2 linked regions of the Lonchura striata genome follow. The protein of the gene in region 1 purifies or fractionates together with the protein of each later gene. This does not show direct contact. Links are inferred from orthologs where the notes say so. Each region holds a gene or a part of one and is shown in the gene's direction. Other genes may lie near its edges.

The links.
Region 2: the proteins of ITGA3 (region 1) and CD9 purify together in Homo sapiens (affinity purification with western blotting; 3 studies listed by BioGRID and IntAct, with this or other methods). This does not show direct contact. The link is inferred for Lonchura striata from reciprocal best matches to the Homo sapiens genes ITGA3 and CD9.

The regions. Positions count from the first base shown.
Region 1 is NC_134627.1:8,521,996-8,534,692, forward strand, and holds the start of ITGA3 (integrin alpha-3), read left to right. Parts: upstream 1-4,696; 5' UTR 4,697-4,698; coding exon 4,699-4,892; intron 4,893-10,639; coding exon 10,640-10,761; intron 10,762-10,847; coding exon 10,848-10,930; intron 10,931-11,324; coding exon 11,325-11,574; intron 11,575-11,920; coding exon 11,921-12,004; intron 12,005-12,563; coding exon 12,564-12,697. Other genes in the region: NPEPPS (puromycin-sensitive aminopeptidase), read right to left, coding at 683-1,001.
Region 2 is NC_134607.1:3,683,288-3,700,044, reverse strand, and holds the start of CD9 (CD9 antigen), read left to right. Parts: upstream 1-8,200; 5' UTR 8,201-8,266; coding exon 8,267-8,332; intron 8,333-16,757. UniProt on the Homo sapiens protein: Integral membrane protein associated with integrins, which regulates different processes, such as sperm-egg fusion, platelet activation and aggregation, and cell adhesion.

The DNA.
Region 1 (12,697 bases):
TCCCCAGCTCGGTGTCACCCATCCCTAGCTCGGTGTCACCCGTCTCTAGCTCGGTGTCACCCCTTCCCCAGCCTGGTGTCACCCGTCTCTAGCTCGGTGTCACCCGTCCCCAGCCCGGTGTCACCCCGCTCGGGGTGCTGGCAGCGCCCCGTCCCCTGCGACAACCTCTGGGACCCCCCCGGGACACGTCCCGGACTCTGCATCCAGCACGGAGCCGTCCCCACGGGAACGGCTGAGCCCCCACAGCCGCCAGCAGCCCCCTGCCCCCAGCCCGGAGGGGCACAATCCTACAAAGATCGGGGACATTCCCAGGGGTAAAACCCCATAAAAACAGGGGGGTTAAAACCCCACAAAGATCGGGGACACTCCGAGGAGCTAAAACCTCACAAAAATCGGGGGCGGAGGGGTGGGTTAAAGTCCCACAAAGATCGGGGACACCCCGAGCGGCACAACCCCACAAAGATCGGGGGGTTAAAACCCCACAAAGACCGGGGACACCCCGAGGGACACAACCCCACAAAGCCCGGGGGGTAAAATCCCACAAAGCCCGGGGGGTTTACCCCCACAAAGCCCGGGGGGTTTACCCCCACAAAGCCCGGGGGTTAAAGCCGCACCAAGCCCCCCCGGCACCCCGCGGGAGCGGCGGGGCGGGCACGCTCCCGGTGCCCCGCTCCATCCGTACCTGCCTCCTGCGGCGGGAGCTGCTGCTCCCTGAAGTGCCCGTACTGGCGGTACGAAGGGCTGTAGGAATACTCGGATTTGGGCGAGTAGGTGCCGGCGGCGCCGATGCCGTTCAGGTTGAACTGGGGGTAGGGGTAGTGGCCCACGGGCTGCCCGTACGACTGGCCCGGGTAGTAGTCGTGCTGGCCCGTGTAGTAGCCCAGGTCGGTGACCGAGGACTCCGGCAGGGTGGGAGAGTCCTTGGAGGCTGCGTGGCAGCTCAGCGAGCCCGAGAGGTCCGTCAGGATGCTGGAGAGCTTCTTATCGAAAGAGCCGCTCATGGCTGGCAGCGGGGAGGGGGCGGCTGCCTGCCCGCGCCGGGGACCCCCCAACCTGGCGGCGGCCGCGGCCTGGCGTGCCCCGAGCGGGATCCGGCGCTGCGGCTGCTTCGCGAGGAGCCACCGAGAGACTGTGCCCAAACCTCCGGCCCCGGCCGCCTGCTTAAAGCCTTTAATTAGGGAGCAGGGCAGGGTGGGTGCGCATTCCGATTGGCTCCAGAAATATTGCCTGGGAGGCAAAATAGGCTCCTGCCTCCTCCTGTGTGGGTTTTTTTTTTTTTCCTCTCTCCCTTCTTTTTTTTTTTTTTTTTTTCCTTCTCTCTCTCAAGAAACAACAAAGAGTGGGTGAAGGAGGGTGAGGGAGTAAATAAAGTGTGCAGGGTCCTGCCTGCAGGAGGGGTGTCCCGGGGACACAGGGGACACTGTGGGGGACAGGACAGGGCTGTTTACAAGGGGATTTTGGGGTTGTGGGGGGATTTTTTTGAGGAGTGTTTGAGTTTGTTTGTTGTGAGGCAGGGAAAGAGTGTTGGGATTTAGGATGGGGATGGATCCGTGCTTGGGGCTGGGGGTTTTAGGGGTTTGTTTACGGCCCCCCGACTTCTCCCCTGCTCCCCCCTTCTCCCAGCAGCGTCCTCCAGTCCAACACCACCCCCAGGCAGAGCCCCCCCAGAGGATCCTCCCGTACCCCCAACTGGCGGCACCTCGGGGCAGCGACAAGCCCCGATTTTGGGGGACACCCCCCGGGGGTCTGTGCCCTTCTCTCACCCCCACTCAGAGCTGTGACCCCTGTGCTGCCCCAAGGACCCCCAGCAGCATGACCCAGCCGGGGGTCGCGGGCCAGCCCTGGTCCCCCCCCAGGCCACCCGCCGGGCTGTCCCCACCGCCCCAGAACCGGGGAGGGGGACTTTGAAAGGGGTGGGTTTATTTTTGGGGAGGGGTCTCTGCTTCTGCGGGCAGGAACTTCCCCTGACAAGAACCGGGGGCTGGGAGGGGTCTGGGTCCGTGGCCCGGGCGGGGCTGTCCCCTCCTGTCCCCTGTGTGTCCCCTCCTGTCCCCTGTGTGTGGTGTCCCCCCTCCCCGCATTGTCCCCGCGGTGCCCCCCGGGTCCCCCCCGGCCCGGCCCGCGGCGCGGGGCAACGGCTCCGCCTGGCGGCCACGGCGGGAACTGCGCAGAGCCCCGGCGATCGCGGGTTCGAGTCCCGGCACCGCCGGAACCGCTGGACTGCGGGGAAAGAGGGAGAAAAATGGAGAATGGGAAAGGAGAGGGAATGGGAATGAGAACGGGAACAGGAATGGGAACAGGAATGGATGTAGGAACAGGAATAAATCGCAATAGGAATAAGAATAGGAACCCGGATAAATAGGAATAGGAATGCATAGAAAGAGGAATAAGAACAGGAAAATTAGTAGGAATAGGATTAGAAGTAGGAATGGGATTAGAAGTAGGAATAGGAATTAATAGGAATAGCAATAAGAGCTAGAACAGGAAAAGGACAAACAGAAATAGAAGTAATAGAAATAGAAACAGACATAAATGGAAATAATAGAAGCAGAAATAAAGAGAGCAGGGATGAATGCCCAAGGGAAGCAGGGGCCTCTGCAGGAGGCCGAGCGTGACCCCGGAGCCGGGAGAACAGCACTGCCTCGCTTCCCACGTGGGAATTGTAGCTGGGGATTCCAGGAATTCATTCCGAGGGGACAGAAGTGTCTGGGAGCAGCCCAGCCCAGCCCTGGGAGCTGCGCCGGGGTTCCCGGGGAGGTTCCCAGGGTCCCCGGAGCCGCTGGGACATCCGCAGGCCCCCAGCCTGGCTGTCGCCCTCCCGCCGCGCTGTCGCCAGGGCCGGGCCCCGCCGGGAGCGGCGCTGCGGCAGGAAAAGCCGGTTGTGGGGCTGGAGGCCGGGGAGGGCAGCGCGGAGCGGGGCTGGAGGGGGAGCGGGTCCGGCCAGTCCCCGACCAGTCTGGGGCTGGGAGCTCTGGGGCTGCCGAGCCTGTGGAACCCCAAATGCGGGAGCTCAGGGCTGGGGAGGGGCTGGGGGGGCAGTTTGGGGGGGCTGAAATCGCTGTTCTGGGGCACCCGAAGGTCTTTGGGGGGTTCCACGGACAGGGCTGAGCACAGGGTCCGGCCAGTCCCCCACGAGGGTCCCCCACAGGGCTGGGGGTACCCCCCAACACCCCTACAACCCCCCCGTGACCCCCCAAGGCTGAAGGGTTTCCTCCGCATGTCCCCCAAAAAGGCCGGGGGGGTCCCGGAGCCCGGCAGGGTCCCCGGGAGTCCCCGCGTGTCCCCCCGGCCCTGTCACAGCCGCGGGGGTTGGGCTTGGGGGGTCCCCGAGCGCCCCAACCCCCTCCCCACCCCCCCCGAGCATCTTTGGGTCAATGGCGCCACCTCGTGGCCTTTGGGGGCAATGACACCGCGGGGTGACGTCATCGGTGTCACTGCGGGCGGGGCCGGGGGATGGGGACAAGGGACAGGGGGACAGAGGATTGGGGACAGGGGATTTGGGGACAGGGGATGAGGACAGAGGATTGGGGGGACACGGGATTTGGGACAGGGGATGGGGACAAGGGACAGGGAATGGGGACGGGATTTTGGGGACAGAGGATTGGGAACAAGGGACATGGGATAGGGACAGGGGGACAGGGGTTTGGGGATAGGGGACGGGGGATTTGGGACAGGGGACAGGGAATGGGCACAGGGGATGGGGACAGGGGATGGGGATAGGAGATTTGGGCAACACAGGACTGGGGACAAGGGACAGGGGATGGGGACACGAAGCAGGGTACAGGGGACAGAGGATGGGGACAGGGGATGGGGGATTGGAGACAGGGGTTGGGGACAGGGGACAGGCTACAGGGGACAGCGGATGGGGACAAGGGTGGGGACAGGGAGGTCCCCGCGCCAGGGCCGGTTGCCGCTGCCGGCAGCGCTGCCCGCGATGTCGCCGTTGCCGTCACTCTTTCCAGTGCCGGTGACACGGCACAGGGGCACGGGGACATCGGGCGGGGGACACCGGACATCCTGCAGCCCCCCCAGGCCAGCCCGGCCCGGATTTCCCGGCCCGGTGGGAGCGGCGCGGCGGCTCCCGGTGACCTTTGCCGGGGTCGGGACGGTGACAGCCGCGGCCGCCGCCCCCGGCAGGGAAGCGGCGATGCTGCCATGTCCCCGCCGGGTCCCCTCCCTGTCCCCGCGGGGGCGGGGCTGTCCCACGGCCCGGCCCCGCCCCGGTGCCGCTCCCGGGGTCCCGGTATGACCTCCTGACATGGGGGGGGTCTCGTCCCGGGGGTCCCCTCTCTCCTGGGGGGGTCCCATGCCGGGGGGTCCCATCCCAAAGAGGTGCCAGGTAGGGGGGTCCTACCCCGGGGGGATTAGGGCGGGAGGAATGGGGGGAATTGTCCCGCGGGGGCGTGGGGAGGGGGCACTGGGGAGGGGGCACTGGGGAGGGGGGCACTCGGGGGGTCTGGCAGGGGGCGGGGTCCGAGCCCCGCGACCCCCGGCGGGGGTGACGCAGCTGCGGCTGCCCAGGTGCGCCCGCCCCCCCCTGCCCCGCGCACCTGAGCGCGCAGGTGCCCGCGGGGTGCGCGGCCCCTTTAAGGGGCGTGTCCGGAAGCGCCGCGGCCCCGCCCCGGCCCCGCCCGGCCCCGCCCCCCGCGCACCGGTCCCGGTGGGGCGGCAGGGCGGGTACGGCGGCCGGTGCGGGACATGGCGCGGCGCCGCCGGCTGCTGCCGCCGCCCCTGCCGGGGCTGCTGCTGGGGCTCGGCCCGGTGCTGCTCGGCGCCGCCGCCGCCTTCAACCTGGACCGCACCTTCCCCGTGCTCAAGGAGGGCCCCGCCGGAGCCTTGTTCGGCTTCTCGGTAGCGCTGCACCGGGAGACGGAGCGGCGGGAGCGGAGCCTGTGAGCGCGGCCGGGGGGCGGGGGGCGAGCCCCGTGCAGTGGGGGGGGCCCGGCTGCGCTCCCCGTGCGGAGCGGGAGAGCGAGGCGAGGTTCACCTGAGTGGGGGGGGAGGGTTGGGACGGGGAAGAACCGGGAGGGGTCCCCCGTGGGGGTGCGGGGGGTCCCCGGGAGGATCCGGGGCGTCTCCGGTGGTTGGGACCCCCGTGAGGCCGAGGAGAGTGAGGCAGCGCTTTACCTGTCAGCGGGGGCGTCTCCGTGAAATGCGGGGTTCCCCGTGCGGGGCGGAGGCGCTCAGAGTGGTCCCCGTTAGGGTTGGGGTCCCCGTGGGGTGCGGATCCCCCGTGGGGTGGGGCAGAGCGGGGAGGGTCCCCCGTTGGGATGGGGGTCCCACGTGGGGCGGGGTCCCTGTGGCACGGAGGGTCCCCCGGGGGTGCTGGGGGTCCCACCCCGAGCCCCCTCCTCATCCCCCGCGTGCTGCGCGCCCACCGCGGGGTCCCGGTGACACGGGGGGGCGTCTGGCAGCAGCGTGGGGTCACCCCGTGTCCCCCCAGGTGCGCTCGGAGCCCCTCGGGGTGGGGGATCCCTTCCCAGCCGAGCGGTCCCGGCCGGCGCCAACCCTCAGCGGGGCGGTGGCGGAGCCCCCCGAGCTCCCCCCGAGCTCCGCCGGTGCCGGCGGGGCCCCGTGCCCGGGAACCTGTTGGGCTGTGGTTCCTGCTGCCGGGCAAAGCCCCAACAAAAGCCCTTTTCAGCCGGAGCAGCCCCCGTGCCGTCGCACCGCTGTCACTCGCTGTGTCCCCCGCTGTCCCCCGGGGTACCCCGCTGTCCCGGACCGCCCCGCTCCCCGGCCCCGGTCCCGCCTGGCCGGGAATTCCCGTCCGTGCCGGGAGAGAGCCCCGCCGCAGGGGCTGGGCTGGCTTTGTCCCCCTGAAGGGCACGGGATTTTGCTGGATCACCTTCCCGCGGCTCTCCCGGCTGCGAGGGGGGGGGGCTTTTGGAGACCCCCGGGACCCCCCGGGACCCCGTTTGTCCCGGGGGGCCGGCGGCAGCTGCCCGTGCAGGCATGTGCCGCTCCGCATTCCAGGGATGCATTTGGGGCCGTGGGATGAGGAGCTGTTGTTGCTCCCGTGCCGGAGGGAGCGGAGCCGTTCCCGCGGAGCCCCGGGAGGGGTGCGGGAGACCCCCTGCCCCCGCGGCCCGGTCCTGCCCGCTCCGGTGGCCCCGCAGCCGGGGGGCTCCGGGCGGGGGTCGCGGCTGGCACCGGGACAGGTCGGGAACGGCCCCGGGGGAGGTTTTGGGGGGGCCGTGACAGGGACCCGCCACCCCCGCACCTGCGCCGCGTGTCCCAGCGTGTCCCAGCGCGATCCCGGCGGGGCGCGGAGGCTCCGCCGGCGGCGGGGAGCGGCTTCGGAGCCGGAACCCCCCCGGGCACCCACGGCCCGTCCCCGGGAGCCTCCGCGGGGAGCAGCGCGCCGTTCTCTCCCCGCTTCGGGGCGTCGGAGCCGCCCCGGGGTGCGGCCGGCGCTGGGGGACCCCCGGAGCCCCCCGGGGTCGCACCCGCGGCCCGGTGCCGGGCGAAGGCGGCGGCGCCCTCCGCTCGCAGGTGCAGGGTGGGGACAGGAAAGCGACGCTTCCTGCCCCCGCCCTGCCCCGTGTGCCACTCGGGACGGGGGGTCCCGTGCTTTTTTGGGGGGCTGGCTGCTGCCCTGGCTGCTGGGATGCTCCGGGGCAGCGCCGGCATCCCCGAAGTCCCGGGTGGGCGCGGCGGGGCCGGGGCGATGCCGGAGCCCCCCGGTTCCGCCCCCGCCGAGCCGAGCGCGCCCCGCGGAGCTGTGCCATGCAAAGGTTTGTTTGCTCGCTCCTCCCGGGCCAGGTGAGCGCGGCTGGGAGCGGGGCTCTTATCAGCCGAGATTACGGAGCTCCTCGGGCCGTCCGCGTCCGGCCGCTCCCACCCGGAGCCGCTTTTGGCTGCCGGAGCCGCTCGGCCCGGCCCAGGTGGGTTTGGAGGTCCCCGGGTGACCTGGGGAAACTGAGGCACGGGAGATCCGTTCCAGGAAAGCTGAGGACACCCACCCTCCCAAAATCTTCAGCCAGAGGGGAGGCAGCACCCACATCTGCAGCCCTCTGGGAACTGGGGCTCTGCCCGGGGCTCGGGGGTCTTCCTGATTCCAGCTGGCTGCTGAGGAGAGCGCTCTCCTGGCTGCGTTCCCGGCTTTCCCTCCCCCCGGCCGGGCTGTTGCGGATTGCTGGAGCTGGCTGAGCTCCCCCTGCCTTGGCCCGAATCCGCCGGGGTCCTGCGGGGCTGCGGCTGCTCGGCAGGAGGAGGGGGACGGATGTGGGGCCGTCTGTCCATCCATCCACCCATCCCTCCGTCCGTCCATCCATCCATCATCCATCCATCCATCCATCCATCCGCCCGTCCGTCCGTCCGTCCATCCATCCCTCCCGGAGCTGTCCCCCCACTCCCGGCTCCTTCCCAGAGGGGTCCCGGTGGATTTCCTGCCCAGGGACCCCCATGACAAACACAGCGGCACTGGGGACAAGCTGGGGGCGGGCCGGGCTCCCCCCGCCTGCTCCTCTCCTCCCGGCTCCTGGCGAAGATGGATGAGGAGCTCCCCTCGCTGCCCAGCTGCTCCCTGGGGAGGGGGTTCTGGGGCTGGGGGCCTCGGGGGGTGCACGACCCCCCTGTTCCAGACCGTGCTGAGGTGTCCGGGTGGGATTCTCTGCCATCCTCGCCACTCCCACCGCAGGGGGGGCCGCAGTTTGGGGTCCTGGTGCCCGGAGCTTCCCACAGCCCCCGCTCCCAGCGGAGCCAGCGCTGGCAGGGAGCTCCCCCCGCTCCATCCAGCCCCCCCACGCTTGCCAAGGCGGATTAGGACGGAGCACGGCCTCACATTCCTGCTTCCCTCCCGTCCCGGCCTCCCCCTCGTGCCGCTCTCTGACCATGCCGAGCACAGCCCCAGCTCCCGTCCCCGCAGCCCACTGGGACCAGCGCCACAAACTGGTCCCGGCCCCTCCAGAATCCCGGCTCGCTGCCCCGGGCAGCCGCGGGCCCGTGGCCCCCTGGCTCACAGCGGGGCGGGGGCCGCCCCTGGGTGCCCCCCCTGTTTTGGAAAGCCCCGCACCCCTCCTCTCCCAGGAGCGGAGCTGCGGGTGGGCTGCCGTGCCGGGAATCTTGGCTGGAGGCAGCGGCGTGCCGGAGCTGCTTGGCTTGGGTGGGCTCCCGCCCCCCGGGACCCGCGGGGACGGCGGGGTCCGGCCGGGCCGGGACCACCGGGGGAGCCTGGGGGCACCCCCGGGGCTGCAGGTCCCGGTGGGGTTCGGGGTGTGGGGGCAGCACCCCCCCAGCTCTGAGTCACAGCAGCCGCCCTGAGTCACTTCCCCCCCAGGTAAGAGGCGACAATGGTGCCCCTGTGCCCCCCCCTTGCAGCTGGGGTGGGGGGCAGATTCCTGCGTGCCGAGCTGGCATCACCGCGAGCCATCACCCCCCTGGCTCCCTTCCCTGCCCAGCGGCTTTGCGGCACCCCCATCCTGGCATTCCTGCGGGGAGCAGCCCCCCGGACCCCCCTTTGGGCTGAGCGGTGCCAGCCCCCCCCACCTGCAGCCCCGGGCTGACTCAGCCGCCCCGGGGGGGTCCCGGCGTGCCGGGGCGGGGGCTGCCCGCGGCCCCGCATTCCTCCTGCGCCTGGGCTTTGAGTCAGCGCCCGGCCCGCCCGGACGTGCCCGCGCTGCCGGCCGCGCATTGCTCGGCTTCCCGGCACTCCCTGCCCGCCGGCGCTGCCGGGGGAACGGGCGAGCGGGCGCGGCGGCGTTTGGCCCCGTCCGCCGCTGCTGTGATGGGCACCGCGGGGATGGGCACGGCGGCGTTTGGCCCTGTCCTCGCTGGTGGCCCTGCTGAGGACTGGCCAGCTCGTTACACCAGTGAGCATCTCTGGGTGCCCTGTCCCCTTCATGTCCTGGGTGCCATGTCCTGGGTGCCGTGTCCTGTGTGCTGTGTCCTCTCCACGTCCTGTGCCATGTCCTCTGTGCCATGTCCCCCTCCATGTCCTGGGTGCCATGTCCCTCTCATGTCCTGGGTGCTGTGTCCCCCCCCCCCCCCCATGTCCCCCTCCATGTCCCAGGTGTCGTATCCCCCCCATGTCCCCCAGTGTCCTGGGTGCCATGTCCTCTGTGCCATGTCCCACTCCATGTCCTGGGTGCCGTGTCCCCCCGAGTGTCCCGCCTGCCAGAGGGAGTCACTTCCTCCCCAGCACGGCCACCTCCACGCCATTGTCCTGGCGCTCCCCAAGGACTTCCCGGCGGAAAGTCCGGCCCTTCCGGAGCCCTCCAGCCATGCCAGCTCCCCATGCCAGGGCCACGGGGCCTTGCCGGGCTCCCCAGCATCTTCCTTTGGGGTGGGGGGGTCCCTTTAGCATCAGCTGAAGGGGTTGGGGGGCACATCCAGCCTGGAATGCCGATGTCCCCCATGGCACTGCCCTTCCTGGGGGAGGTCACCCCTGGGAGGTGCTGCCTGTCCTGGGACAGCCGGGGTCAGGGGTGTCTGAGGGGTGTCTGTGCGGGGTGAGGGGTGTTTGTCCTGGATTAAGGGTGTCCATCCCAGATGAGAGGTGTCCATCCCAGATTCGGGGTGTCCATCCCAGATTCGGGTGTCCATCCCAGATGAGGGGATCCATCCCAGATGAGAGGTGTCCATCCCAGATTCGGGTGTCCATCCCAGATTCGGGTGTCCATCCCAGATTCAGGGATCCATCCCAGATTCGGGGATCCATCCCAGATTCGGGTGTCCGTCCCAGATTTGGGAATCCATCCCAGATGAGGGGATCCATCCCAGATTCGGGTGTCCGTCCCAGATTTGGGAATCCATCCCAGATGAGGGGATCCATCCCAGATTCGGGTGTCCGTCCCAGATTTGGGAATCCATCCCAGATGAGGGGATCCATCCCAGATTCGGGGATCCATCCCAGACTCGGGGATCCATCCCAGATTCGGGAATCCATCCCAGATTCAGGGATCCATCCCAGATTCAGGGATCCATCCCAGACTCGGGGTGTCCGTCCCAGATTTGGGAATCCATCCCAGATTCAGGGATCCATCCCAGATGAGGGGATCCATCCCAGATTCGGGTGTCCGTCCCAGATTTGGGAATCCATCCCAGATGAGGGGATCCATCCCAGATTTGGGAATCCATCCCAGATGAGGGGATCCATCCCAGATTCGGGGTGTCTGTCCCAGCTCCCCGCTCCCGGGGCTCTGTCCCCGCGTTCCCTGGCGCGGCACTCGGTGCTGTCGGCCGGACACGCCGCAGCTGTGCCGGGGCTGGGGATGGATCAGAGCCTGGCCGGGAAGGGCCGGGGCTGTCCTGGGGGTGCTGAGCCCCCCCCTCCCTCTCCTTTTCCCCGCCAGCACAGCGAGGTTTGGGGGGGTCACTGTGACCCCTCTTCCCACCCCCCGTGCATGGGGATGGGGCTCAGCCATGGGATGGAGTCTGGGAAGAGTGGGGTGACTCCATCCGTCTGTCCCTGAGGCCGTTTGGGGTCCCTGTGTCCCCTTCCAGCTCTGGAGACGGGGCTGACCTCGTTATTTGGGGGTGTCAGGGTGTGACAAACTCTGGGCAAGCAGCTCCGGTGTCCCCCAAGTGTCCCCTCCCCAGACCACCCACCCTCTCTGCACCCCAAAATGAGTCGGAGGGGTCTGGGGGGTGGGACCTGCTCCCCCCATCACCCACCAGGTGCCCCCTTCGTGCCCCCCAGGCTGCTGGTGGGGGCCCCCCGGGACGCGGAGCCGGTGAACGGGACGCGCACGGGCGCCGTGTACGCCTGTCCCCTGAGCGCTGCCACCCGCGACTGCCAGCGCCTGCCCATCGAGCTCAAGGGTGGGTGCCCCCCCCGGGGTGTGTGACCACCCCAAAACCCCCCCCGGGCGTGGGGACCCCCTCTCAGGCCGGCTCTTCCCCCGCAGATGAGCCCGACAAGGCCATCATCGAGGACATGTGGCTGGGGGTGACAGTGGCCAGCCAGCGGCAGCCGCCGGGGAGGGTCCTGGTGAGTCAGGGGCTTTGCACGCCCAGATCCCCATTCCTTGCACACCCAGATCCCTGTTCCTTACACACCCAGATCCTTGCACACCCAGATCCCTGTTCTTTGCACACCCAGATCCTTGCACACCCAGATCCCTGTTCCTTGCACACACACACACCCTTGGGGTGTCCCTCCACATTTGGGATGTCCCCTGAGCCTCAGTGTCCCTGCTGTCCCCAGGCCTGTGCCCACCGCTACACGCGGGTGCTGTGGTCAGTCCCTGATGTGTCCCTGAGCTGTGCCTGTCCTTGTCCCTGTCCACGTGCCAGGCCTGTGCCCACCGCTACACGCGGGTGCTGTGGTCAGTCCCTGATGTGTCCCTGAGCTGTCCCTGTCCCTGTCCCTGTCCCCGTGCCAGGCCTGTGCCCACCGCTACACGCGGGTGCTGTGGTCGGGCGCGGAGGCGCAGCGCCGCATGGTCGGCCGCTGCTATGTGCGGGGCAACGACCTGCGCCTGGACCTGGCCGACGAGTGGCAGACGTACCACAACGAGATGTGCAACGCCAACACCGACACCGACGAGACCGGCATGTGCCAGATGGGCACCAGCGCCGGCTTCGGCGCCAACATCATCTACTTCGGGGCGCCCGGCGCCTACAACTGGCAGGGTGAGGGTCCTGGGGGGCACGGGGGGCACCTGCCAGCCCTGGGGTCACCCCTCTGGCACCCCTTTTCCTGGGGGGCATCTGCCAGCCCTGGGGTCACCCCTCTGGCACCCCTTTTCCTGGGGGGCACCTGCCAGCCCTGGGGTCACCCCTCTGGCACCCCTTTTCCTGGGGGGCACCTGCCAGCCCTGGGGTCACCCCTCTGGCACCCCTTTTCCTGGGGTTCCCCTCACCTCTGGGGACGCTTCCTTGCCCAGGGGGTCTGTGGCCCCTTGGGACCCCCTTCTCGAGGTGCCCGTGCCCCCGTGGGACCCCCCAAGGCTGTGGGTGACCCCCCTCACCGTTCCAGGCACGGATTACATGCTCCAGCGGGACTCGTGGGACCTGCACGACTTCTCCTACCCCAACAAGAGGAACGGCAACACCTACATAGGTGGGGGGGACCCCGGCAGGGGTTTGGGTGGGGGGTTTAGGGGGAACGCTGGGGGTGGGGGGGACTCAGGGAGCCTTGAAGACCCCGCTGGGATGTGGGATGGTGAGACTGGGGGGCAGTGGTGGCATTGGGGTGACGTCGGGCACGGAGGGAGAAGATGGGGAGGGTGATTTGGGGTGAGGAGGAGCTTTGGGAGCTGGGAGTATTGGGCGTGGATGTCAAAGACGCTGGGGACACTTAGGGACACTTAGGGACACTTAGGGACAGTTAGTGACATTTGGGGACACTTAGAGACACTTAGTGACACTTAGGGAAGGTCAGTGACACTTGGGGACACTTGGGGACACTTGGGGACAGTCAGTGACACTTGGGAACACTTGGGGACACTTAGGGACACTTAGTGACACTTGGGGACCCTTGGTGACACTTGGTGACACCTGGGGACACCTGAGGACCCTTGGGGAGGGTGTGAGCCGTTCCCGGTGCTCGCCCGGGGCGCGGGGGGCTCGGGGAGGACGCGGGGGCACCCCGGGGTCCCTCCCTGACGCGGCGCCCGCAGGGTACACGGCCGAGGCGGGCAGCGCGGTGCTGCAGCGGGACGCGGTGACGGTGGTGACGGGCGCGCCCCGGTACCGGCACACGGGCGCCGTGCTGCTGCTGAGCCGCGGCGCCCGGCAGGCGCTGAACCGGAGC
Region 2 (16,757 bases), on another chromosome or scaffold:
CTGAGAGCAGAGAAGGTATCCATCCTATCATGCTTTTCATAGCAGCTGGAGCTAAATAAATTACATAACATGTTGCATATACTCACTGGAGGCCTGCCCACTGCACTTTGCCCTCCCCTCTGACAGCATTAGACACCAACAGATGTAAAAATGGCAAGGCTGTGTGACATTGGCATTAGTCACCAAAGCTTGAGAAGATACTCAAGTACCTCCTGGTCATTTCAGAGATGAACGTTCACCTGACTTTAAAAGAGGGGCCCACAAAAAGCACACTTTGTCAGCTGATTTTCAGCATGTCAGATAGGTGAGATGGTATACAAGCCTCCCTTCATTAAAAGATAAGCTGCAGTCCAACACCACTGGCAATTAAAGCCCTGCTAAGAGTTTTCTTATGGGTAAGAACAGCCAGCCTCCTGTGACACCAGCTGGGGTGACCCATCCACTGAGGTCTAAAGCAGCACTTCCCACCTGCAAACCCTGAATATCATTCCAGGTCTGCAGGAAAAAATGTATGAAGTATAAAAAGAGATGCTGGTGGAAAGAGGAAGTGACTTTTTCACAGGCTTCCCAAGCTATGGAGCAATCTGTGGTGGGGTCAGCAGGAAATGACCAGAGACCTCACAAAGACACAAAGAGTCTGTAACCAGAAATATTTGGAAACCCTATTCTTGCTCATCTGACCATCTCACAGAAGGTCCTGAAGTCGATGACCTCACTAGAATGGCAAAAAATAGACAGTTCATTTTGAAATATACTTCCATACCATTTTTTTTTCTCAGGGAACTCACATGACATCTTAAGAACCAACAGCTTCAAAGGAACAATATTCAATACTGCAACTTCTACTCAGCAATATTTCCTCCTCTGTTCTCAAAACAGTTAGAAAAAACTGAAGGGAGAAAAGGAAAACCACCAAGAAGAATTTAAGAACTGGATTGGAATGGGGAGGGTAAGGAATAAGAAAGAAAAATTAATAGAATGAAACACAAAGTTCAATCCTACAAGCAGCTATATTTTAAGTCACACACTTTAGGCCATGCATAGCTGCTTTAATTACCAAAGAGTGAAATACAAGCTTAAACCCAAATCCATGTTTGGAAAATGAAGTTGAAAACAAACCCAGAAAGCAAAATCAACCTTATCCAGTTCAACACTATTAGACCTGTGTTGGAATATATGCTTGGATTAGCTCCCACACATAAGTGCTAGTTCAGAATTAAAAATTCTTTGTCTTCACCTGCAAGTGCTATGTAGTTACTCAGAAATAAAATCCTCTCCCTTGCAGACAGGGAGGAGGTTACTCTGTGACAACTTATTTAAAATAGCCACTAAATAATTAACTCCTGCTAATTTTCAGTGAAGACAGAGATTAAGGAGCTTTTTTTGTGAGCCAAAACAGATCCTAATATTAAACCATTCCTGCAGAAATTGAAAAGAATCTGGTGATTTTTTTTTTTTTATTAATTTTCATGTATGACTTCTTGGGGGTTTGGATAATTTTTTTAGTTCTTGGCATTTGCATAAAGTAAGCTTATTTTCTTTCTGAGAGGACAGGAGGAAAAATGTCCTCAAACACTTTTGCTTAACTGAAAAATTGGGGGGAAACATTCCCCCTTTCTCCATTGTTGGATATAATTACTTTTCCTGCTTTTTAAATTGACTGAAAAGTAACTCCAGCATTTCAAAGATCAGTCCATAACTAATGTTTCTAGCTAGGTATGGAAAATATTTATAGTTATACATACAAAGGATTTATAAATACAGTTGAGACTCTGCCAGAGTGTTCAGATTACTTTGCACCAAAAATTTAAATTGTAAAATTCTTAATGGATCCATGAATCTGATTAAAAATAATATCTTGACAATTTCCTAGTCATCCACCTGACAGCACTGGGTAGGACAGCCTGAGAAGCCGCCTAACCTGTGCTCTGTGGATCCATGAAACTGGGACTGCCGGGGAATAAGAGGAAAATACCTGGAAATCCACCTCTGGCTGGAACAGAACAAAGACCAGAAATAGTTTCAGATTTGGGAGCATTGTTACTAAGCACATTTAGGAGGCATTTGGACAGCACCCTTAATACCATGCTTTAATTTTTGGTTAGCCCTGAAGTACTCAGACTAGATGGTGGTTGTATGTTCCTTATAAATGAAATATTCTCTTTATTCTGCTCTATTCTATTCTATTCTATTCTATCCTATTCTATTCCTTTGAAGAGGGAAATAAAAGCATCTAGAGACTGCTAAGACTGTTACCTGTGGCTTTCTTGGCTGTCAGACATAGACCTAAAGCCATCTCACTTTTTCCTGATGCTGCCTGCATTTCTCTCTCACATGTGCTAGAAAAACCAGGATTATTTTTCCACAACAGTCAGATCTGAGCCTCACACACCTGATTTTTAATCTTCCACCTATAAAGGTTTGCCCTAAGTCCCCACACACATCACAGGGCTGTATTGTGGCAAGGGAGATGCGTCACATCAAGGGGCCCTGTGCTCAAGGACCTGCCCAACCTGCCAGCACCTCCCTCGACAGCAGCCACAGCCTGTGGCCCCACTCGTGTCCCCTGCTCCTAAAATAACTTCACCCACACAGAAAAGTCTGACACATGCAGACAACATAGCAGTTAAATGAATCACCCTTGGAGTAACTCGTGTTACAGCCATGATTTCCAAACAGGCACTTTGCAATCTTGCAGAGTCGCAGCATTTGTTTGGTAAAGCTTTGGTCTCCCGTCCTCCAGTCACGAGCCTGCTCTCACACTGAAACCAGGTGCAAGCACTGCTATCTGCAGCATGGGGGGCTGAAATGGTGATTTACCTTGAAAAGGAGTGGGCCGCACTTCCAGTGATGTCCAACTGCTGTTGTGAGAAATTAAAGGGCATCCAGACTATTTTTTGGATTTCACAACAATTAAAAAAGCAAGTGTGCTTCCTTCTCCCTAAGTAATGATGACATACTCCACATCCCAGGATGGTTCAGGCTGGGACCACTGTGGGTCACTGGTGCCACCTCCCTACTCCAGCAGGGCCATCCCAGAGCACAGGGCACAGGATTGTGTCCAAAGGAGTCTGGGATATCCCCAGTGAGGAGACTCCCCAGCCTCTCTGGACAATCTGCTCAGGCTGGGTCCCTGCCCAGGACAGAAGTTCTGCCTCCTGCCCAGGTGGAACCTCCTGGCATCAATTCCTGTCCATTCCCTCTTGTCCTATTGCCCAGCACAACCAAGCAGAGCCTGGTTCCATCCTTTTATCACCCTTCCTTCCTGAAGGAGTCTATTTTCATCACTGGTAATAGTAAGGATGTCTGAATTCTTTTGAATGGATGCTTTGTGGAATTTTTGGAATTTTTGCTTTTTATCCCATGCATTTTATCTCAAAATGTGAAAATTATAACTGATTACAAAACAATTTCATAAAGGTTCTTAAGTTCACATTGAGGTTTTCCAGTAAAATGATAACCAATTATGAAACAATTTTGTATGGGTTCCTAAGTTCATATTGAGATTTTCCAGTTGCTCTCCTGACATTATCACTACTCATGCATCATACACAAATGTCTTATGCCAAATATTTGCAAGGATGTGCCCAAATCTCTTCTAAACTTCTTCAAATCTCAGATTTAAAAAAAAAAAAAAAAAAAAAAAAAATTAAGAAGTCTGGCTTTGTGTTTTCACTTCCAGATACACCTCCAGTTATAGCAGAAGACCAATTTCTAATGAAATCCCCCAGGGCTTTGTAGTTTCTTCAAAGCCTTTCTCTCGTGGCAGAAAGCAGACACATTTCTAGGATGTACAGATTTACTCCCAGCATGAGTTCTTCCAGAATCTATCTGCTATGGATACCAAACACCAAACACATTTTTACCAGCACTGGAAAAAAAGGACAATGCCTTCCACATAATGCTATCAGCATGAGTGACTCTGTGAGTCATTTTTGCAGTGACTCATTCCATTTTGCAATGGAATGCCAGTCTTGACTCTCCAGCTCCAAGACCAGCCTCTCGCTCACAGCCTCAGATGTGGAAGGAACCACTCACCCATCACCATTCCAAAATATTCCTGTGTTGAAATAAACCAAAGTACCTTAAAATTAGTTTGGAAAGGTGAGACCAGAAGTAAGGCAGTTAGTGTTATTTTCCATGGACAAGCTCAAGAGTTTAGGATGACCCAGATGACATCAGCATAGGATCTGTGACTTCCTATTTCCTCCTTCCTCTCAAAATCCATCCCCAACTCCCTGACAGCAGAGAACTGTGTTTGTACAGCCTCACTGTTCACCAGACAGACAGATCCAGCCCAGCATCACAGTCCCTGCTAAAAAAAAACCCAATCACTGAAGCTAAAAAGCAAGCAAAACAACCTTCAGGTTTTTAATTTTGTGACTGGCTTGGGCAGTCAAAGATGTAACTTTTCTACAAAGAACAAAATGTTGTTGTTGTATTTCTCCTTTAACTGACACTCAAAAAATTTGTTAATCCCTGTCCTTTGGTGGGGAAAGCCTTGTACTTTATCTCTCTGCAGTTCCCACCGTTTATGCCTGGCTTTTTAAGGGAGCTAAAACCTTTTAAAAGACCTGGAACTGTTTATGCAAAGAAGGTTAAAGGCCTCAAGCCAGTTGACACTAGTCCTTCCAAATATTCTTAAGGCAGGGATATCAGGAAAACAGGTCAAGGAGGCAGGGAATTCTGCAGTTCTTACCAGAGAATCCCACCATCCTTAAATACAGTCAGGAGAGAAACCCCTCCTCTCCTTTGCCTTCCTATATTAATCAAAGGATCAGGGTCCTTTGGATTGTGCAGTCTGAGGAGAAAATCTTTCCTGGCGAGAAGCAAATGCTTCTCCTCTTCACTATTGGCCCAAACATGACATTCAGTTTCACATTTAAATAGGATAAAATAACTCAGCCTACCTGTAGAGAAAAGTTCTACAGATAGTTAGTGCTGGGTCTAGATTGTTGAAAGTGTAATTTTAAAAGGCTTCTGGTAAACTCTGATTGGTTGTTTGTTTTTTTTTTTTTTTTGTTAGTAATATCCTGAATTTGCTTTTCTCTGTGCCAGGACAAAATAACTCTTTAACCACCCAGGGTAATTTTAAGTGCAGATAATAAATATTTCATGTAAAATGCCTATTATCCCATGCAAATACAAAGTGTCAAAATAATAAATCAGTGTGAAGTACTTCTACAAGGGTCATTAACTTCCTTTAGTGATTTCTATTATGCAGAAATTCAGTTGATTACTATCTCATTCCACTAGTTAGAGAAGTTCAGGTGTGGTCAGAGAATTGCATCTACCAGATCGTTACACCCTGGAAGAGTGAAACATAAATGTTCTCGCCAGATACTTTGTATGGAATGGAAAAAAAAAAAAAAACAAACAAGAACAAAAAAAAAAAAAAAAAACCAAAAAAAAACCAAAAAAAAACCCCACAAAAAAAAATCCAAGCCACAGCATTATTTTCCTTCCATATTCTCAAGAATACTGAAGATGTACAAACACATTTTACTTCCTCATAACTTAATTTGCCAGGTGAATGGGGAGTGTTTAATTTTTTTTCAAATGCACAGGAGGTTTTTATTGAACAGGTCCATTTCTTGCCTCTGATCAAAAGGTTACTGCCCATGAATTTTAAAGAAAGTTGTTTTAACGCAATATTAGCATAAGAAGCTTAATAATACAAAGCTAGGAGGGAAATTATCCAAAGTTCTTCTGTGATCCTTAATTTTAGAAACTTAAGGGAAGCTATATTACTGATGCTACCTAACAGCATAAATCTTAATGGCAAAGTGACAAAAGAAAACCAACCCAGAAGATACACAGAAAACCTTGCTCAGTTACCAGGAGAGTTTAGTCACATACATTTGTTAACTCCATCCTTTCTGGATCATTATTGTTGTGGCCGGCCTCCATCCCTCTGCTTCTCTTTATTTTATAGGAAAGGTATTCCTGATTTTCAGCATGTCAGATAGGTGAGATGGTATACAAGCCCCCTTTCATTAAAAGATAAGCTGCAGTCCAACACCACTGGCAATTAAAGCCCTGCTAAGAGTTTTCTTATGGGTAAGAACAGCCAGCCTCCTGTGACACCAGCTGGGGTGACCCATCCACTGAGGTCTAAAGCAGCACTTCCCACCTGCAAACCCTGAATATCATTCCAGGTCTGCAGGAAAAAATGTATGAAGTATAAAAAGAGATGCTGGTGGAAAGAGGAAGTGACTTTTTCACAGGCTTCCCAAGCTATGGAGCAATCTGTGGTGGGGTCAGCAGGAAATGACCAGAGACCTCACAAAGACACAAAGAGTCTGTAACCAGAAATATTTGGAAACCCTATTCTTGCTCATCTGACCATCTCACAGAAGGTCCTGAAGTCAATGACCTCACTAAAGTGGCAAAAAATAGACAGCTCATTTTGAAATATACTTCCATACCATTTTTTTTTCTCAGGGACCTCACATGACATCTTAAGAACCAACAGCTTCAAAGGAACAATATTCAATACTGCAACTTCTACTCAGCAATATTTCCTCCTCCGTTCTCAAAACAGTTAGAAAAAACTGAAGGGAGAAAAGGAAAACCACCAAGAGGAATTTAAGAACTGCATTGGAGTGGGGAGGGTAAGGAATAAGAAAGAAAAATCAATAGAATGAAACACAAATTTCAATCCTACAAGCAGCTATTTTTTAACTAACAGCATAAATTCTTAATGGGAAAGTGTCAAAAGAAAACCAACCCAGAAGTTACACAGAAAACCTTGCTCAGTTTCCAGTTACCATGAGAGTTTAGTCACATGCATTTGTTAACTTCATCCTTTCTGCATCTATATTGTTGTGGCCTCCATCCCTCTGCTTCCCTTTATTTTATAGGAAAGGTATTCCTGATTTGTAACCTGCTCTGGGAAGCAGCTGCCCAAGCCAGCATCTCCCCCTCCGTATTGCCTCTGGAATGTGCTGTATCTTATCCTTTATTTTGGCAACAAAAACTCCAATATGTTTTTATTTGCATTTCAGCATGGCTTTTCTGTTTTTACTGTTCTGTTTGGGTGTTTTTTTGACTCTCAATACCTGATTAATTTCTAATCCCACTGTATGAAATTAAGGTACAAGCCCTCAGTTTTCACCCCTGAGCTAAGAGGCTCAGATGCTGAGTGCAGAACACCCTGTTACGATGAAAGGGAAATTCTTAGTTGAAATTTACCTTGTTTTTTCTCACAACTGGGATGACCTAAGAGCACGTGTGCAACCAGCTACCATGGATCAGTTGGTAGGCTGAAACTTACCCGCCTTATTTTCCTAAAGTGGATGTTTGTAATTTCATACAAAGTTATATTTGAAGACATATTTGAAATATTAAAGGAATTGAACTACGCTGTAAGTTTATCTTGTGTGAGAAAACATCCATTTAAGCTAGATGGATTCATTTTAAACTAAACATCCAGCAGAGGCCACAAAGGTGATGAGGGCTCTGGACCATCTCTGCAGGAGCTGGGCCTGATTATTAAGAGGAGTCAGAAAGGGGATCTCATTAATGCATATAAATAACTCAAAGCAGGTGTCAAGAGGATGGTGCCGGACTCTCTTCTGTGGTGCCCAGCGACAGGACAGGGAGCAATGGCCATAAACTAAAACAAGAAGTTCCACCACAAGACGAGGAAGAGTTTCTTTACGATAAGGGTGGCAGAGCACCGCAACAGGCTGCCTAGGGAGGGCGTGTGGATTCTTTTCTCTCAGGACACATTCCAAACCCACCTGGAAACATTCCTGTGTCGCCTGCTCTGGGTGACGCTGCCTTGGTTGGACTGGGTGACCTACAGAGGTCCCTTCCAGCCCTAAGGGTTCTGAGATCTGTACCAAAAGCAGGCCGGACTGGGGTGGTGGGCTGGATTATACATTAGGAGGAAGTTTTGCACCCAGAGGGCGGCGGTGGGGCACTGAGCGGGCTCTCCAGGGAATGGCCACAACCCCAACCCTGCCAGGGTGGGATCGCAGAGGCGGCGCCGCGCAGGGCCGGCAGCGGGACCCCGACGTTCCCGGGGCTTCCCCTCCATGCCGGGACATTTCCGAGCCCCAAGGCTGGCGGGGCCCGGCCCCGTGTGGCGCTGCCGGAGCCCGCCCGGCCTGGGGCGGAGAGGGGCGGCCGCAGGTGCGGGGCGCGGCCGGGGGCGGCCCCGGGGGCGGGCAGGGGAGTCCCCGAGCGGCCCGGGCAGGGCCGCATTTAAGGAGCGGCGTCGGAGCGCGGCAGCCTGGTGACCGCGCCCGCAGCCGCCACCATGCCCGTCAAAGGAGGCACCAAGTGCATCAAGTACCTGCTCTTCGGCTTCAACTTCATCTTCTGGGTGAGGCGCCCCGGGCTGCGTCCCCCGCGCTGCCCGGCGAGGAGCCCGCGGGACGGGGATGGAGGGGACGCGCCGGGAGCCGCGTTTGGTTTGGTTTTTTGATGCCTGTTTTTTGCTGGTTTCTCCACTTGCTGCCCCCCGCCGGAAGGAGAGGGAGCGGGTGCCGGCGTGCTCACCGCTTTATTTTTCACGTTTTTGGGGTTTTATCGAAAGGCGGGTTGAGGGCGCTGCCAGGCGGGGAGGGGGTGCTGGGTTTGTGCAATTCTGCTCCCACTGTGCATCCCCAGCACTGCACACAATCCTCTCCCTAAAACTGTGCGCAGGTCGGGCTCCCTGCCGGCTTTCCCGGTGCCGGGGCTGAGCCCGAGGTGAGCCGGCTCCTCGCAAGTTGTCGTGTGTGTGAGCTCCTCGTTGTCGGTGGGAGCTGTGGCTTCCCTTCGGGTTTAATCTCCTGGAGCAGACCGGCACCCCTCGAATCGCGTCTCCGGTGTGGTTCCTGGCCGGCGTGAGAAAGCATGGCTGAGCCGAGAGGTTGGAGCTGTCCTCAAGCCCTCGGGGCGTGGGCACCTCGATTTAGCGCTGGCTCCTGCGTGGAAAATTACTGCGGGAGCCGCTCGTATGCCTGACGGATAGGAGCAAAGTGTGTGGCTTCAAAAGCTGCGTCTTCTCTCGGCTGTTGGCCGCGGTGTGGCTGTGATGTGGAGGAATGAAGTTGGAGCTGCGGGAAGAAGCCGCGTCTGGAGTCAGTCGCAGCACTGCCCGTGGGACGAGTGGAAGTTGCCGTGTTAATAATGGGCGAAGTGCTCGGGATGTCTCGATGCCGAAATGGGTTGCAGCAGAGTTGAGAATACACAGCTGGGCTGCAGTTGAGGGAAGCTGTGCAAAACTTGACCCAAAAAAGCATATTTTGCCACCCGGGACTCGCCAGCAGCGCTGTCGCATTTGCAGGGTTAGAGCTGATCAGAAGGAAAAGCCTAATAAAACATTGTCTGAAACTTACATTCAAGTGAGTTTCTAAACCTGTTAAACGAGACTGAAGTACTCGTGGTTTGCCTTGTTTTTGTTTGTTTATTTCAAAGCCGTAGACTTTCTGCAGAGTATTTTATGGGACAAAAATTCTTGTTGTGGCAACGGCATTGCCTCAAAGAAGCTTTTAACCTGAGCTTCACCAGCTTGTCTAGGGACCAGGGCTGAGAATAGGGAGAGAGTTTTTGTTTAGCTCGGGATCTACTTGTCGCTTGGGAGTGTCATGATCATGAAGTGCTCAGGCTTTACTTCTACCTTTAGGGGTGCTCGCGAATACAGAATTGTACTGGTGACGGGGTGGATGGAAGGAGAGTGGTGCTGCTGCCCAGAGGAGCTGCGAGATGATGGCTTTTCAAGTTGGCTTCTTGAGGCTAGCAGTATGCAGCTAGGATGTGGGAAAGAGAAGAGGAAGAAAAAAGGAATTAAAAGGAGATAAATGCATCTTGGTGATCCCAGTAAGTGTCTGGAGGCCCCAAGAGGCAGTGAGATGCAAGCAGCTTGGTTCAGCCAGAGATAAGGGAGTGTTTGACCAGCTGGAGTGATCCTTGGTTTGTGGGGACCACCACATGTCATTGTGGCCTGCTGAAAACAGTTGAAGGGGAGTTTAGGGGGTATGGTGTTAGCAAACCTTGTGTCCTCTATGGAGAAATAAAGTAGCTGTATCTTGGGTTATTCCATATTGAACAGCATAAAAAGAAAGGTGTTGTGGAGCTGCCAGCATTAAAAGGCAAGAACCACCCTAATAAGAAAAAAGGCTGTAATGTTTTATTATGGCTTTGCAGATGTGAAAAATCTGTGAAGTAATGGAAGTGTGTTAACAAAACTTGTTGTGCTCAAGTGCGATTCTGTACCTCTGTTTTTTGAAATAAGTTGCCTCAAAAGGATAGGTCAGGAATTTCAGTGGTCTGCAGCAACCCTGCACAGAAGGCTGTGGGTGCCACGTTAGGTGGAATGTACTTGCTTCCATCAGAGGCTTGAACAAGGGTAAGAGGAAGTAGAAAGTCTCAAACAACTTGGTAAAGGAAGCTATTGAAATAAAAATTGAAACTTTCAAATTTGAAGCTGTATGCAAAGGAAGGAAATAAAGGTTCATAAATGCTGCTAATGTTAGCCAAAGGAAAGCTTTAGGAGTAATTTGCAAAAGCAAACCCAAGTAACATACCCCTTCTCAGACACATGAGGAAAAGAGTTTCTCAGGGAGTTCTTCCAGACAGTAATGGCTCCAGGTATAAAAGTTTTGGGAGTGATGTTCAGCAGGACTTTATTTTACTGGGGAAGATTTTCACAGAGTTCTGTGCCATAACCTGTCTTTGACTCTGAATCCTGCACAGGCTTGAACTGACCTTTTGATGCAAAGGAAGTGAAACAGGAGGAGCAGCAAATGTTTGATTAACAATTCTCCAAGGTCACACAACACTTCAGAACATTTAAGTGAGTTGTGATTAGGTAACTCCCCCTGCCTACCATCCCTTCTCTGAGCTGGAATGCAACGAATTGGAGGCTGGGTTTTTGCTTTAGGGTAGTCTGGAGCACACAGGGAGTAGCACACATGGACTATCTGGAGAGAAGATTCCTTAAAAGCTGGTGTACATGTACAGGAGTGACTAGCTACTGCAAGGGGAAGTCAGACTTCATGAAGATGCTGCCTTAGAGCAGAAGCCTGAATGTTGGAGAAGGCGAGGACTGGTTGGCGTTGGTTCACTTGTTCAATATCTCCTGGAAATCTCAGGCCTCTTGTGCAAACCAGGCAGTCCTGGAGTAAGATCCTGGCAAGAATGAGGTAGATGGGTATTGGAGTGGAGGCAGGGCTGTGGTGAGGTGCAGCTCTGCTATTGCAGAGAGAAGCACTGTGCTGGTCAGTATAGCCCCACCTCATCTGAAGAAGAACAGAGGGTACTGCTGGGGTGCTAGCTGGCACCCGTCGTCCAGGGTGATGGAGGTGATAACTGCCAGCTGTCAGAACAGGGTGTGTGACTCTAAACAAAGGCAGGCATCAGGTAATTCCCATGGAAGGCACCAGCAGAAGCTGCCTGGAGATAGGAACTAAATGCTATCAGCTGCTGCCATGGAGCAGTGAAGCCTTGGGAGAAAAGAATCTATGATGTCTTTACAAAAGCACCAGGTGAGTGCTCAGTGTCAACAGAGCAAAACCAGCTTCAGAAATGAAGGACTGAGAGAAGATAGAATATGGTGCGTAAAGCTCCCAAAATCAATGGCATGCTGGTGTCCCACAGTCCTGCAGGCTGCTCTGGTCATCTGCCTGCCTTGAGAGGATCACAGAGAAACTTGGTAATGTTTGGAAAAGAAAGAGGACTGTTTCTGTCATCAGCAATTCTATCTTCAGCATGGAAATGTGCTAGAAATCCTTAGGATCATGATTGTTCAGGCACTAGGTAGGGCCTGACTGTATTGAAAGGGGCAGTGAGCAAGAGCTGTGGGATATTAAGCCAGGAAAGAGGACATTTTTGGAAGGAAAGTGTCACTGTGGGGATAGTGGTGATGCTTTCTCCTCAGAGGGGTAGGTTGGTGAAGGGATAAGTGGTTAATCACAGAATTAATTAGGTTGGAAAAGACCTTTAAGATCATCTAGTCCAACCTGCTAATATGGAGTTCAGTAGCCTTTTGTTAATTTTTTCTTCTCTCAAGGTGCTGTTCATATCCTAGCACAATCTTTAAATGCTCAGCATGTAGCCCAGGAGGTTGGTCCTGGGAAATGCTACCTTCTTTCCTGTTTTCTTAACCCTTCCTGAAGATCTCGTGCTTGATTGATCTGATGGCCTTTCTCTAGCTGGGGAGGCTGGGCATTAACATGGCATTCTCTGAAACTTTTGGGGCTTCAGAGTTTGGCTTAAAATGTTCTTGTGGCCTAAATGGAAGGAAGGGGACATCTTTGGATGTTTGCACCAAGTCCAGTTAAGCATGGATCCATAAGTTTTGGGATTCAATCCTCTCTTTTGAGGGGTAGGAATTAGGGATGGCTGTGTTTCCTCTTGGGATGGAATGTTGCAGCAGGCTCCTTGCTGCTCTTGTGCTGTCCTTGCTGGGGCTGGTGTTCTCCCACCCATGTTTGCAAGCAGCTCTGCTGTCTTGGCATGGCCAGTGCTGGCCCTGGCATCCCTGACAGTCTGCTTTCTAATCATACAAGTTTGGGGGCTGTTTTGGCCTGTGGGAGGGAGGTGTCAAGCCTGATACAGAACTAAAATTTTTTTTCCCACCAGGCTGGCTTGAGCTTGGCAAGAAGTCAATGGAAACAACACATTTCATGCCTTAAACCTGAGCAGTGGAGTGGTCTTAGCAAAGTTGCCTTGGACCAACCTTAGTGTGAGCAATGCTGGATTGCTTTGAGTTGTGTGAGTGACTGCCTTTAGCTGTGCTCCCTTAACTCCTTGGGTTTGCTCAGGCTTGTTGGTCCTGGTGATGAAGTCTTTTCCTAGGAAAACTGTGGGCTTCTGAGCAACCTGGATCACACTAGGCAAATGCCTGCCTGTTCTCCCACTGCCTCCTGATGCTGAACAAAAGCAAGGACTTGCATTAATGCTGGGTTTTCCTCTTGTTAATTTTGTGGAATATGAAGATGTCTGCTGCTAATATTTATGGTTTAATGTATTTTAGGCAAGCAAGTGCTGTAGCACAGAGTTGATGCTGAAATTTTGAGCAGTCATTTTCTTGTTCCTTTTCACTATTGGGCAGCTCTCTTGCCCTGACTTCCTACTCTCCAGAGTGCTGCGTGTTTTATGAATAAATACATTTGTGTGTGGTAGTGCCTGCTGGAGTAAGATGAGCAGAATAAGGCCTGGAGAGCCCTTTTCCTTCTGTAGCTTGAAGATATCTGTGGTTTTGTTCTGAGCCCTAATCTCAGCTGTTTTTGTGCACCAACAACAGCAATTCAGAGGATCTTTCTTCCTCCAAGAGAGGACTTGCAGGATGGGCAGGGAAATATGCACGAGTCTCTTAGTATGTATATATGCAGGCACATGTGAAAACCCCAGAAATTAGTTGCTTTTGCTTTCTGTATAGAACTGGTGCAGTTGCTGGCTACAGTGTAAGAATCTAATGCTGCTTGGGCTCAGCTCAGTGTCTATTGACTCCAGTAAGTTCTGTGGAGTCAGGAATGGAGTTTGGAGTATGTTGCCTTGAGAAGCCTGATGTGAAGCTTCTTAGAGTTCCAGCAGTTCTGGCTCCTATTTGCAATTCTAATTGCAAATATAGTAGACTTACTTCTGAATAGGAACTTGTATGAAATGGGCACTAGTCTTGGCAGTGGTTCAGGAATTTTGTAATGCTGCTCCTACTGTACTGGAGCACCATTTTATTGCAAAAAGTGTTGTGGCATTAACATAGACCACAACATTCTTGAAACTAGCTAAGCAGAAAGAAAATACTTCCTTTCCAATCCACTTTTTTCCAAACTAGTTTGAAAATAGCTGCAGTTTCTTGTATAACTGCAAGCCCCCATTAGCACAAGTGTTTCAAAACTCTGAAAACCTGTGCTGCTGTGGATAACACTAATTCTGTAATTGAGGGTTTAGAGTGATGTTGAGCCTCACCTGTACTTACTGTTTATGCGTTTTTATTTATGGAGTACCAGCCAGTGAAAGGACAGAAACAGTTCATTACTACTCATAATGTTCTCAATTTCTTTGCATGTGCTTTGCAACGTTGTAGATCTGGTCCTAGCTTTCTTAGTTCAGTCTAAAACAGTAAGAAGTAAATTCTTATGCAGTCAGGTTTTTAGCTTAAAGTTCAAGTGTTTATCAAATGAAGATGGTGACTTTTTAATATCTTATTGTCACATCCTGTTGTAAACCCATATATGGAACAGTAGTGTTAAGCCTGACATACCATCTTACTTCAAGAAAAAAAAAGGTGTTCTGTTAGATGACAACACTGAAAATAGTATTTATTTTTGACTGACTTCTTTATTTTCACCTGATGATGTACCTTCTGCTAGAGGTAATGCCATGAGCATGGTAGAAGTTGTATGTAAACTTGGCCTGAAGGTGTCAAAATGGCAAAACCCACCTTTTTTTTTTTTTTTTTTTTTTTTTTTGTGCAAGGGCGTTTATTTTTACAGGCTTTGAGCCATTTATCAGGCGGTCTTGAACTGTCTGATTACTTCCCTATCCCTGCCTCCACCCTGTGGAAGTGCAGGAAGGGCTGGGGAAGGGTGTCCCCTTCCCAAAGCTTTGTCTGCTGGGACAAAGAACTGTCTGAGGACTTGGTAAGTGCTTGGACCTTGAGCTCCTTGAGAGGCAATTCCGCCTGTGGAAATATAAGATGCTCTAAGAGGTCTGAGGCAAATGGGCTGATTGTCCCTTAACAAGGGAACAAGGTCAGACGGGACTGAACAAAATGGTCCTTCCAAAATAGTGGTTAAATCAAAAATAAACTTCCTAGCTTTTCAAAATAGCGTCACACATTGTGCTGGTATGGGTTGTGTTAACACAATTGGTGTTTTGGATTTGTTTGGTTTTTTTGTTTGATTGGGGGTTTTTGTTGTTTGTTTTTTTTTTTTGTTTTGGTTTGGGGTTTTTTTGTGGTGGTTTTTGGTTTCTTTGTTTTGTTTTTTGTTTTGCTTTTTTTTTTTGGTGGTGGTGGTGGTTTTTTTTAAAAAAAAATCTCAAGGTTTTAAAATGTGTTTATGGCATTATTATTAAATATAAGGGTTTCCTGTGTAAGCCTTCTGCTGGGGGAGTGATATCTGCAAAACCTCGTGTGTCAGAGCGGGACAGAAATCCTGTGGGAATTGTTTGGTAGTGTGAGAGTGGGACAGAAATCCTGTGGGAATTGTTTGGTAGTGTGAGAGTGGGACAGAAATCCTGTGGGAATTGTTTGGTAGTGTGAGAGTGGGACAGAAATCCTGTGGGAATTGTTTGGTAGTGTCAGAGCTGGACAGAAATCCTGTGGGAATTGTTTGGTAGTGTCAGAGCGGGACAGAAATCCTATGGGAATTGTTTGGTAGTGTCAGAGCTGGACAGAAATCCTGTGGGAATTGTTTGGTAGTGTGAGAGTGGGGCAGATATCCTGTAGGAATTTTTTGGTAGTGTGAGAGTGGGGCAGATATCCTGTAGGAATTTTTTGGTAGTGTTCAGTGCTGAGGCACACTGAACTCAAGCTCAGGTCAGCCAGGGGTGGTGAGGGGAGGAAGGCAGAGTGTTCAGTGTGGCTGCAGCCTCCAGGATACACAGGTTTTCTCATCTCCAGTGCATCCTGACTAGCTCAGGTCCTTTCTCACTTTTCTCACATGGAAGGCTGGGACACGCCTTTAGATGTACCCAGAGGCGAAGCAAGGGAAACATGCAGGGCTATGTAAGAAAGGAAGATAGACCAAAAAAGCTGTTTTTCCTGTTGGAACAGGCAGAAAGCTGCATGGCAGGAGTGAGCTTTAGGGGCAAAGGGGGTGTGTGTCCATGTAATCGACAAAAAAAACAACCTGAGAAGCCTCCACAGGGCTGGGAGAGGAGTGGCCAGGTAGTTTTACCATTGTTGCAGCCCTGGAACAGCCAAGCAGAGCAGGAATGAGCTGGGAGTAGTGGTTAGGGCAAACAAGGAAGCCTGGTTTGTTGGAGCAGGGAAGTCAGTGGTGTAATTGTGCCAGGACATACTTGGAAAATCACTGCCACAAACTTTTCCAAAACAGCAAAGTGAACAGTATCCATTTAACTTCACGTTTTGGCCAGATTGGAAAAAACACAACCAGCTCTCTTTGCTGTACTTGTCACTATGGAAACATACTACTTACCTGTCTGATAAGCTCACAAACCCATCCTCTTTGTGTATGTGAAACCAGACAAAATGGATTACTTTCAGGAGTACAGTGTTGTTCTTTTCCAGCTAAATTTCTTTCAGCGCAGGATAGAGCTACTCTGAATTTTTAGAATGCTGAACACAGTATTGCTCAACTCCTGTGACAAATTAGGTCTGTTGGATGGGGAATCCCCTTGGATTACCAAAAAAATACCAGCAACAATTAGATTATCTGGGGATCTGCTTCCATACAGCCGAGGCTGGGGGCTTTGCACCCCTTTCCCAAGGAAGGAAAAACTCCCAAACCATCCCAGCACCAGTCCCATCCTGCTGGCATAGCAAGGGTGAGCAGGGAGGTTTGACAGTGCCTCAGTCTCTAGTGTGCCACACTGGCCAGGGATGCTGGCAAATGCCCGTAGAGCTGTGCTTTTCTCTTCCTCAGAGGCTGGTGTTGCTGTGTCCTCATTTCTCCCTTGTTTTGATGGAAACTTGAAGCTTCAAGTTTCTTGACTGCTGCTTTAAAACTGCCTTTTTTTAGTTCAGTGGTCAGTGTGGGTAGGAAGAGCACAAACTGAGAGCATAAGTCGGCTTTCCTTAAGGAACTGAGACAGAAAGTCTCTTATTCTTGCATGAAGAAAGACTTATTCTTGCA